Linked DNA regions of Oryctolagus cuniculus. The protein of the gene in region 3 binds, or shares a complex with, the protein of the main gene of each other region. Links are inferred from orthologs where the notes say so. Each region holds a gene or a part of one and is shown on either strand. Other genes may lie near its edges.

What was found. The genes of interacting proteins can lie anywhere in the genome.
Region 1: CCNC (region 3) and MED4 share a complex: the UniProt entries of both Homo sapiens proteins name them as parts of the mediator complex. The link is inferred for Oryctolagus cuniculus from reciprocal best matches to the Homo sapiens genes CCNC and MED4.
Region 2: CCNC (region 3) and MED31 share a complex: the UniProt entries of both Homo sapiens proteins name them as parts of the mediator complex. The link is inferred for Oryctolagus cuniculus from reciprocal best matches to the Homo sapiens genes CCNC and MED31.

The regions. Positions count from the first base shown.
Region 1 is NC_091440.1:67,126,216-67,129,965, reverse strand, and holds the start of MED4 (mediator of RNA polymerase II transcription subunit 4), read left to right. Parts: upstream 1-1,503; 5' UTR 1,504-1,584; coding exon 1,585-1,709; intron 1,710-3,750. UniProt on the Homo sapiens protein: Component of the Mediator complex, a coactivator involved in the regulated transcription of nearly all RNA polymerase II-dependent genes.
Region 2 is NC_091448.1:49,926,764-49,930,513, reverse strand, and holds the start of MED31 (mediator of RNA polymerase II transcription subunit 31), read right to left. Parts: upstream 2,547-3,750; 5' UTR 2,318-2,546; coding exon 2,290-2,317; intron 1,289-2,289; coding exon 1,211-1,288; intron 996-1,210; coding exon 899-995; intron 1-898. UniProt on the Homo sapiens protein: Component of the Mediator complex, a coactivator involved in the regulated transcription of nearly all RNA polymerase II-dependent genes.
Region 3 is NC_091436.1:72,160,986-72,164,635, reverse strand, and holds part of CCNC (cyclin-C), read right to left. Parts: intron 732-3,650; coding exon 625-731; intron 1-624. UniProt on the Homo sapiens protein: Component of the Mediator complex, a coactivator involved in regulated gene transcription of nearly all RNA polymerase II-dependent genes.

The DNA.
Region 1 (3,750 bases), on a different chromosome or scaffold from region 3:
TTAGAGGGTGAACCAACGGCAAAACGAAGACCTTTCTCTCTGTCTCTCTCTCTCACTATCCACGCTGCCTGTCAAAAAAATAAATAAATAAAAATAAAGAGTTAAAAAAAAACACCATGGAAGCAACCCAAACTTCCATTATTGGATGAACAGATAAGCAGAAGGTGGTATAGACAAGTAATGGAATATCAAGCAACTTCAAAAAGGGAACTCTGACACTTGCTACAGCATGGATGAAATTTGAGGACATTTTGCTAAGTGAAATAAGCCAGTGACAAAACAGACAAATAATGTATGATTCCACTCACACAAAGAAGCCGAACTCACAGAAACCAGAAGGATGCTGCTTTCTAGGGACTCCCTGGGGCGTGGGGAGGAATGAAGCTAGATTTGTTTTATGAGGTGTGAATGTTGCAGGCATGCCAATCTCAACTTTTATTCCAAGTTTTTGTCCCTGCAGAGGTAAGAATTCAAAACAGAGCAATACATACAGAGCACGAGGGAGAAGACGATTTATTGAAAGAGTGAATATACATTCTCGTGTGAGTGTGGGCATCCCTGCATGGAGAGATGCTTGTCATGAGTGGGCCAGAGTTGCCTAGGAGGAGAGAGAGGGCAAGGAGACCAGAGAAGGACCGTAAGTATGCTCCTGAAGCCAAAAAAGCAAAAAAGGAGTGTTTCCACATTTATCAGTCCCTTTTGTGAGGTACTGGGTGGTGCTCTGATAAGTATGCAAACAGCATGGAGTTCAGTGTGAGGCAGTTTCATGGTGCCTTGGCTAGCAACTTACCTTCCACGTGGTCATTATGGTTCCCTTCCTTCCTGATCCCTGATGAGGCAGGTGCATCATGGGAAAGGGGGCACACTGGGTTGACAGGTAAGGGGGAGGAGTTGCCATGCAGGGTTATGCAGAAATTCTGAGAAACTATTCCAGCTCAACTCTTTCTACCTAATCTTCATGCCTAGTTCCCCCATCATTAAAAAGAGTTTTCTAGATGCACAATAGTGTGAACATATTTAACGTCACTGAACTACACACTGAAATAGCTAAAACCGTGACTTTTACGTTTTGTGTATTTTGCTACAATGAAAAAAAATAGGATCACAAATGGTTTTGGTTCCTGTGCTGAAAAGCTTACTGCAGCTTCCAAGAGCCATGCAACAGGAAGGTTAGAACAGCATCATGGGAATGCAGACTGCAGAGACAATCCTGGGGAGACACCAGTCGAGTTTATGAAGAAACGGACATAACAGGTAGGCAAGTAGGTAACTCCCTGAAATGCTCAAAAACCGTTTGGGAGAAGCCTTCCATTGCTGCTTGAAAAACCAGAAGGCCCAGAAGAATCGGACTGAATCGCCCCCTCCAGTCTCACTCCTTGGGCGCTCCCTGGGTATGTAATGGAGAAGCCCGGCTGGTCCAGCAGATGGCGCTAACGCCCATAGTGCGCCTCCAGTCGCCTAGGCGGCGCTCTGGCGGTACCGCTCTTCCCTACGTCTCGGTGACCCTTCCTTCCGCTTCCCGAGCCCGCCTCTTCTCCCACTAGCGCGGAGGTGCGCCTGCGCTGGTTCCTGGCCCTGGGGAGCATGGCGGCGTCTTCGAGTGGTGAGAAGGAGAAGGAACGGCTGGGAGGCAGCTCTGGAGCGGCAGGCGGTAACAGCACGAGAGAGCGGTTGTTATCTGCGCTTGAAGATCTGGAGGTCTTGTCGAGGTAATGGCGCCGGCCTGAGAGCCTGGCTGGGGCTGGGCTGGGGGACTGGCCCCGGAGCCCGCCGCCGCCGGCCCTCTGCGCTCATTCCTGGGTCTCGGCGGGGAGGCCTGAGCTTGGGAGTCCCCGGTGCTTGAGTGTTAAGGATATGGGGTCTGCAGATCTCTGGGACTCTGGGCAACACTTTTTTCTTTGCCGTCAGAGAGAATTTTAGTCATGACAGCCACCCTGGAAGTCCAAGACGGCAAGAGCCAGAGCGAACCTTAAGAGGTCTCGCGTTGGGAGACTGGCACTAATGGGCTGCCCCTTGGGCGCCAAGCACTAGGAGACTGTCGTGAAGGGGAGGCTGGGTGCCGACGCGGAGGAGCCCGGGGTCAGGGAGAGACAGGTGGGTAAACAGTGCTGGTGCGGGGCTCGTTCTTGTCCGAGCAGTGCGTTGCGGGCCCGGGAGTGTAGTCAGGGCAGGCTTTGGTTGGAAAGAATGAATTCATCGGACTCAGCAGGTGGCAGGGAGGTGACATAGTGTGTGCAAACCTTGGAAGTCGGAGGCCCCAGGCCCTGGCGGAGTTGTAAGGTGCTGGGGATGGCCGCAGAGCAGCATGGGAGACGGGATGGGATCTTGTTCTGCAGGCTCTCAGTTTTCACGGTCGTCTTTCAAGTCGGGGCCTTCCTGTCTTCTGTGGTTAACCTGGATCTAAGTTGTGTTGTTTTTGCAGCCTGCCAAAAGTTTCTACTTTCTTTTGTACTTGATATACTTTGTCATTTTATACTGCTGAGCACCATCGTTATTTTAAAAAGCATCTCGCATCATTCTTCTTAAAAAATACTCGATAGCCCGTATAAGCAGAGTCAGGCCCAGTGTCGGGTTTCTGTCAAGGAAAGACCAGATATATGATTATGCTGTGGTGGTCCCTTAGGATTATAATGGAGCTGAAAAATGCCTGCAGCCTCGTGGCCTTGTTGCCCTCTGTGCTCGTGTTTGTGGTGACGCTGGTGTGAATGGGCCCACCTGCTGCCGGGGGCGTGAAAGTGTAGCACATACAGTTACACACAGCCCCTCATTCCTTTTCTTTAAGGTTACTTATTTGAAAGGCAGAGTTACAGAGAGAGGGAGAGAACGGGAGCGAGCTTTTCCATCCACTGGTTCACTCCCCAGATGGCTGCAAAGACCAGGGCTAGGCCAGGCCAAAGCATGGAGCCTGGAACTCTGCCGGGGTCTCCTGCCTGGGTGGCAGGAACACAGTACTTGGGCTGTCTTTCGCTGCTCTCTCGGCACATTAGCAGGAAACTAGATAGGAGGGGTATCTGGGACTTGAACCCGGAGCTCATATGGGATGCCAGTGGTGGCTTCACTGGCTATGCCATGATGCCAGCCCCCGTCCATAATTCTTGATAATAAATGACTGTTACTGATTTATGTATTTACTGTGCAATACTTTTCATTGTTATTTAGAGTTTATTCCTCCTATTACTTAAAATTTAACTGTTAAGCAAAGTGCCACATTCTGCTGGGAGCAGCCTCCTATACCTTGTTTTTGCTGGGAACTGTTGATTGCGTCAGGCCACAGCAGGTGGCCGCTCCTGTCTGGGTTTGTGTAAGTACAGTCACCTCACCGTGCATTTGAGGGATGCCTGACTACTTCCCATGTCACCGCCAGCTGTACTTCGTCAGTGCCATTCCTACTCTATCTCTAGCTGGCTGAATGATTGAGTTGTCTTTCAGCATCTGTCTCAAATGTCACCATTTCCGTAGCCAGCATTCTGTGACAGCAAATGCCGATCTGCTTACACTCAAGATCAGTACTTTGTCTTTGCTGTGAATTTAGCCCTTGCTGTACCATTACTTACCAATGTTAAGTACAACATTTAGTGATGTAATGAAAACCTAAAAACACGCAGACAACAGAAGGTAAATGGCTTATAAGCTTCATCCACTGTTTACATTGTAGTAGGATCACAAACAGGGCACCTGGAATTTTCGGTCAGCCATTGCTCAGTACAGGAAACAAACTCACAGGCACCAGGCAGCTGTCCAGGCTTTGCC
Region 2 (3,750 bases), on a different chromosome or scaffold from region 3:
GGGAATAGGTTTCTGGTCATAATATGCCCCTTGCAAATGTAATTGGCCTTCAAGTCAAAGTGTCTCTGGAACAACTTGAATGGCAAACACACATACACGTAGTTCAAAAAGTTTGTGGAAAAACCTGAATTAAAAGCTTATTTGGATATAAAAAGCTTGTAGTCTATACTTGGTTATTTCATATTACACAATTTTTCAAGAACTTCTGGAAATCCCTTACACATGGACTCCAAAAGTTTTTTGCACCAATACAAACTCGTCTTTTGGATCCATTTTCCATTTACTTTTTGAAGGACCGGCATGTGTACGGAAACAGTTGTGAGTGTGCAGTGTTTTTTAGTTATTGAATGCAAAGCATTTGGGCACAAAGATCGCTGCTGGAAGACACAGTGACATCCTCCACATCTTCCTCACAGGTACTTCTGTGTGATCTTTTATTATCAGTCAATGGCTATGTTGCTGCATGTGAGGACCAGAGTCCTTCAGACCAGAAACCCAGAGAAATGGGGAGACTGGTAGAGAGGAGGTCAAGAAGACTGGGCCAGATGCGGCCGGGCCGCAGACTTCACTGCCAGGAAGGGAGGGCCCCCCAGGTCTAAGGAACAGACAGCATGTTCTAAGCTACAGTTCCCAGGGACCACATCGGCTTCTGGGTAGAAAATCGCGTTGCTTTATTGGCTTTGGGTGAGGTAGTGAGGAAAGAGCAGAAAACAGAGCCAACAGTGAGTGATTTCTGCAGGAATCCAAATTAAGAGGTAGGCAGTGACAACCGAACGCGCAGAACGTGCAGATTCAACATACATTTTTACCAGTGTGAAACTAAGAAGTATTTACGTATCCACGTTTTGGGTTTTAGTAAAACATACATACACCGAGGATTACAAAAAATTAAACTTACTTTAGATACTTGGCATATTCTGGTTCTTTCCAGTACAGCAAGTACTTAAGATAATTAACAAACGCTTTGTCTTTGAAGTAACCTCTTTGAGCAAGAACTGAAAGGCATAAAAAAAAAAACAAAACCTAGGTCAGACGGATGCTTGGACTACCACCAGCCCACAAGTCCTAGTTTGCTCAGTTACAGCTACAGAATTGCTTTAAGTGCAATTCTATTCAATTGAGAATATATAAAAGTAGATACTATTAGGAAATGCAACTCTTGTCAAAAAATCATTAATAGCTATTCAATTTAATTAGGTGAACAACTTACAATTAAGGTAATTTGGGTTGGCTAAACACTGTACAAATTCCAACTCTAACTGAAACCGAAGTCGATTTCCAGCATCATCTAGGAGAGAAGACAGCAAAAATCATCCAAGACAAAGGTCGCTAAATACAACACCGATGGGTCGAAAGGAAACAGCAGCCAGGAAACCTGCGTAATGCTGAGCTACACTTCTGGGAGGCATAATTCCTTAGGAACCTAAGAAAAGGAGAACTCTGATTAAGGCAGCTAGAAACCCCTCTAACGTTGAAGAGAAGTCATCAGAGACAAGGGGAACACAGATGCGGCAGGAGACCTCCCTCGGTGGGTCACTGGAGCCATCTCAGCAGTGAGTGACCGGGTATGGGGTGACAGTCTACCTCCCTGTATTTTATTAATACACTGTAGCTACTGTCGATGGCGGTGAGGAGCTCCGAGTGCGAGCTAGGAGACTGCGGAGCGCCGGAAGACCCCGAATGGCAGCATCAGTGGCAGGATAACGCAAGTTGGTCCAGGGCGCCCCAAACTCATGCAAGCTCCCGCGGAAGCAGACCCAAGTGCTGTCTGGTGACACGACTGTCACTTTCAGCCCCTGTTTATGCTCCTGGTGGTCTTCCTACTTTTGACTGGCTCTATATTACGGTTCGTGGTGAAATAAGCCGTTATTATAGACTGTATCAAATTTATGCCTTGGCAACAAAAAAAATGAAAAGTAGGGGAGGGAACGCGAGTGGGGGGAGGAGGAGAGAGGGAAGTATGGGTCTCCTGGAACTGTACCTATGCAATCTGTTCTCTTTATACTAGTTTTTGTTTTTTTTTTAAAGAAAAGATTCCAGTGCTGTCCCTCAGTCTCACCCACGCTGGGACGAAGGTGGGGTCGCTGAGTGAACAGCAAGCGGGGAGAAAACATGTGCGAAGCCACCAAACTCTGAAAAAGGCAAAGCTGCCGGCACCTTCCCAGATGCTCCAAGAGCCCTCTCGCCTCCCGGGTCCCACTCCAAGCCCCTTCCGTTAGGCCTGAAGGAGGCCCCGGGCAGGCAGGAGAAGGGGTCCGGGCGGAGCGCACGGCTCAGAGCGCGACTCACCTGTCTCCATGGCGACGGCGGCGGCCATAACAAGGAACGACGCGAACTCTCACCAGCTCGGCAGAGACTCTGCCCAGTCTGGCTGGGGAAGTTCCGGAAGCCTCAGCACCCCGCTTCCGGCCCCGGGGCACTGTGGGATACGGGGGCGGGCCCAGCCGCGCTGGGAGGACAGCGGTTCCGCCCATCGCTGCTGGCTCCGCCCGCTCGGGCTCCTGAGCCGGGCGCTGCGGCCCGGGGAGCGCCGTATTTGGAGGTGTTTCACGTCAGCGTGTAGTGGCATTGCCGCCTAGGAGGCAGGTCGCTACTGTGACGTCATTTCTCACCTCGTGACGTAGCGTAGAGGTGTGCTGAGCGGTCCCCTCAACACCTATAGAATGGCCTCGGCCCTTGGGGGAAAGCCGTCCTCACCCCAGTGTGGACACCTCGCCTTCCAGGAAGCGGCGCCCTCGTGCCCTCCCGAGTGCTCAGGGCCTCGTCAAAGCGGCTGGAGGCGAGGCTGCCTACTGTGTCCAGCCGGGTCCCCCAGTCGCCTTTGGCTTCCTGGAGGCAGCCCACATGTCGGTGTGAGAAACAGCCCAGCCGCGGTTCCTGGGTTCCTGCGCGAGCCGCGCCCTGGGCCTCCCCACGCGTGACAAAGCCCGCACGCGGGGCTGACGGGCAAAGAGGCGGAGAGTGGTGGTATAGAGGGATGGACGGGGAAGGCCTTGCTGGTTAGGCCACAGTGGAGCTGAGACCTGTGTGGTGACACCGAGCGCCCCACCCCCACCCGGGGGTCTCAGCGGAGTGCACCCTAGGCCGGAGGAAGAGAAGTGCGAAGGGTGTGTGGGAGCAAGCTTGCAACGTTCCCCGAGAGAAGAAGGGAGAGCTGGGAGCTTCGTGTGTGAGAGGCAGAGAGGGGACGGCAACAGGCAGGACCAGTTTCTAGAGGGCCTTTGAGTCACCACGGGAACTCAGGTTCTAGTCTAACAGGAACACGCTGCATAGTTTTCGGCACAGGACTGACATGATGCAACCGCATTTTTAAAATACCTTCTGCCTTCCGTGTGGGCTGCAGAACAGTTGTTCTCATCCTGGAGGGGGGGGGGAGGATTTTGTCCCCCAGGGGATACTTGGCGATGTTTAAAGACGTTTGTGTTAGGTACAAGGAGTGCTGCTGGCAAGTCGTGGGTAGAGGCCAGGGATCCCAGCACCAAAACCACAGAATCACGGGGCCTAACGTGTCAGTGGTGCCCAGTTGGAGACGCGCTGCAGCTGGGAGAGGAGAGGCCTGGGAGAGGCTCCAGAGGAGGGTGGGAGGCCGTGCCCTCCCCTGGACAGTGTGTGTGTGTGTGTGGGGGGGGGGTGTCTGTTGCTTTTTGACCCTGCCTTGCAGTCAGTGATTTACCCAGCAGGACAAAGGGGTCTTCCAGCAGGCCAGCGATGGCCCAATTGTGTCTACTACTGGGAGCAGAACATCTGCCA
Region 3 (3,650 bases):
AGAATTATTTACTCTCCAAGTACTTTGCTTTAGCCAAGCTTAAACTGAGTTTGATAACGAATGATAGGGAGTGGGCCTATGCAAAGTTAAGACACCGCTTGGGATGCCCACATGCCTGATTCAGGTCCCAGCTCCTCACTTCTAATTTAGTTTCATGCTGATGAAGCACCCTGGGCAGCAGTAGATGATGGATTGAGTACATAGCTTCCTGCCACCCACATAGGAGATCTGGACTGAGTTGTGAGCTCCAGGTTTCAGCCTGGCCTAGACCTGGTTGTTGCATGCATCTGGGGAGTGAACCAACAGATGAAAGATCTGTCTGCCTGTCTGCATCTCTCAAATAAAAATGAAAATAAAATTTTAAAACTTTTTGAAAACAGTAATAATCCATTACTGAGGCCTAGGAGATCAGTTAACATTTTAAATTGCCTCGAGTGCCTCTGACATGTAAGATGCACAAGACACTTCATTTAAATCACTAAAAAGATGAATATAAGTCATAAAAAGATTTATGTACAAATAAAAAATTTAAGTATGGACCATAACCATGAAATTACCTTACAAAAACATTCTCATTCAGGGGTAACTACCTACACAATTTCAACCAATTAAAATAATGTTTACCATTTGTAAAAAATATTTGTAATTTCCAATATTCTTCTTCTGAGAGAAATTTTAAGTCCTTTTGGCGCTCCTTCAACAGATCTTGTTTATCCAAAATCCACTGCAAACTAGGAAGAAGTAGAGATATTAAAGAAGACATGTAAAGCAAAATCACAGAAAACACACCAAAAAAAGCACCTTGTTACTTTAAGAGGTACAAAGAGATGGAGTAACCTCAAAAGATAATATCTCTCATATTTCTTAAAATGTGAATTACCAGTAAGAATTATTGGGGTGGGCATTTGGACAACTGGTTAAGCTGCTGGTTGGGACACCAGCATCCCATTATCAGAGAGCCTGGGTTTCAATCCCATCTCCACTCCTAATTCCAGCTTCCTGGTAAGCAGCAGTGATGGATGATTGCTGGGTCACCACCACCTGTGTGGGATATCCAGCTTGGGTTTCTGACTCTTGGCTTCAGCCAGGCTCAGCCCCAGCTATTGTAGATATTTGGGAAGTAGGCCAGCAGACAGGAGAGCAACTTGTCTTTCAAATTAAATAAATATCTTATTAATAATGCAAATTTGTCCAGAAAAAAATTCCACACAAATCTTTTCCTTCTTCCTCCTCTCTGTTTTGTATTTCATTGATTCTAAGTCTCTGATATCAAGATGTATCTTACGATCAGTTATGCTTTATCATTTACTTGGCAGCATGTTTTTATAGAAAATTTTATTTATTTATTTAATATAAAGCAGAGTGGCAGAGAGAGAGAGTGAGAGAGATCTTCCATCTATTCATTCACTCCCCAAATGGCTACAACAGAAGGGTAGGGCAGGTCAAAGCCAGAAGCCAAGAATTCCATCCCAGTCTCCAGCGGGTGACAGAAACCCAAGCACTGAGGCCATAATGTGCTCCTTCCCAGGTACCTTAGTAGGAAGCTGGATTGAAACCAGAGCAGCTAGGACTTGAATTGGCACTCCAATATGGGATGCAGGCACCCCAAGCTGTGGTTTAACCCACAGGGCCACAAAGCCCACCCCTAACTGCCAACATGTTTATTCTTTATTAGTGATGTAAGCTTATGATGGAATTATTTGGCACCAATGATGGTGCTTTTAGACTTAATGAAGTGTTATCTTTTCTCAATTGTCCCTGAGTAACTAGGGTAGTTTCCCTACTATAAATTCCAATCATGTTAAAAGCTGCTTCACAATTTTACACAGATAGACTCCTTCTCTTGCCTAGTTAAGTACAGTATTTTTAGTCAGATTTGAAACTTATATGATAAAAAAAATTTAAACACTATTTTGCAACCTGTTTTGTTATGTCTTTAAAGCACTTAACTTGTTTTTCAGCATCCTCTTAAATAAGCTGCACAGTGTTAAGGATGGATCATTATTTAGCCGATCCCTATTGATTGGGATGTAGGTTATCATTTTTTTTTTACTACCACAAATAATGCAATGAACATCCTTGTAACTGATCCTTGCATATTTGATTAATAATATATTTAAGGGGCTCGCACTGTGGCATAGTAGACTAAAGCCAGCATCCCATATGGGCACCAGTTCTAGTCCTGCTGCTCCTCTTCTGCTTAAGCTCTCTGCTATGATCTGGGAAAGTAGTAGAAGATGGCCCCTGCACCTACGTGTGACACCTGAAAGAAGCTCCTGGCTCCTGAACTCTGGCCATTGTGGCCAGTGGATGGAAGACCTTTCTCTCTCTCTGTAACTCTACCTCTCAAATAAATAAAAAGTAATAATAAATTCAATACAATTTCCTAGAAGTAAAACTAATGGGTAAGTTGTCATGGTAACTTTGATATACACTGTCAGTTTGCATTCCGGAAAAGTTATACCAATTTCCATTCCTATTAATAATTCATGTGTCTTAAGATATTTAACTCCATGAGCTAATGCCAATATTTCTCCCTTTCTCTGTCTATAATTCTACCTCTCAAATAAATAAATAAAATCTTAAAAAAAGGAACTGGAAATGTTTCTTCTTTATTTATGAACTGGAACAATTTCAATAGCAGATCCTCTTAAAAGCTAACAGGAATTTACCCACGAAATAATGTGAGACTCAAGCATTTTTCAAGGAGCTCTCTGGTAATTTTCTTAATTTGTTTTGGCTTTCATATTTATTGCCAAGGAGATGCCCCAAGAGTTACTCTGGGTTTACTAGCTTTCCAAATTCCTGATTTTTATATATTTTTGTATTATCTTATCTTCCTTGATTTAATTAGTTTAGTGTATTATTTTTTTGTTTTCTCAGAAATAACCGGCTCTTATAATTTTTTCCTTTAATACATCAAAATCAGTATTACTTTATTGTGTTTCTTTCAATTTCCATAAATTTGTTTCATTTTTAATATAGCATTAATATTTAATTTATTTTTATTTCTTCTGAGTTATTCAAGACAATGATTTTCTAATAAATTCAGTTTTGGCTATATCCCAATTATATAGATCTGATTTTCTAGGTACAATGTAATTGTATTTTTTCTCTTTGATATAATAAGTTGGTTTTATAAATTTTTTAAAAGATTCATCTATTTACTTGAAAGGCAGACTAGAGAGAGGGAGGGCTGGAGAGACAGATCTTCCATCTGCTGATTCACTCTTCAAATGACCACAATGGCCCAGGGCTGGACCAGGCTGATGCCAGGAGCCTGGAACTCCATCCAGGTCTTCCACATTGGTACAGGGACCCAAGGTCTTGGGCCATCTTCCACTGCTTCTCCACGAGCATTAGCAAGGAATTGGATTGAAGTGGAGTATCCGGGACTAGAAGTGGTGCCCATATGGGATGCCAGTGTTGCAGGTGGTGGCTTCACCTGCTATGCCACAACACTGGCCCTATAATTTTTATTTTTGTTACCTACCCATTAATTTGTTCAGTCAACCATCAAATATTTACTGCCCTTCTAGTTTTACTGAATTTTGGCCAAAGAACAAGTTTTGTCCTACTTCAACATTCTCAAATACAAGTATATTGTGATTTGCTCTTAAATTACATCTCAACAATCATTTTGTTTTTAA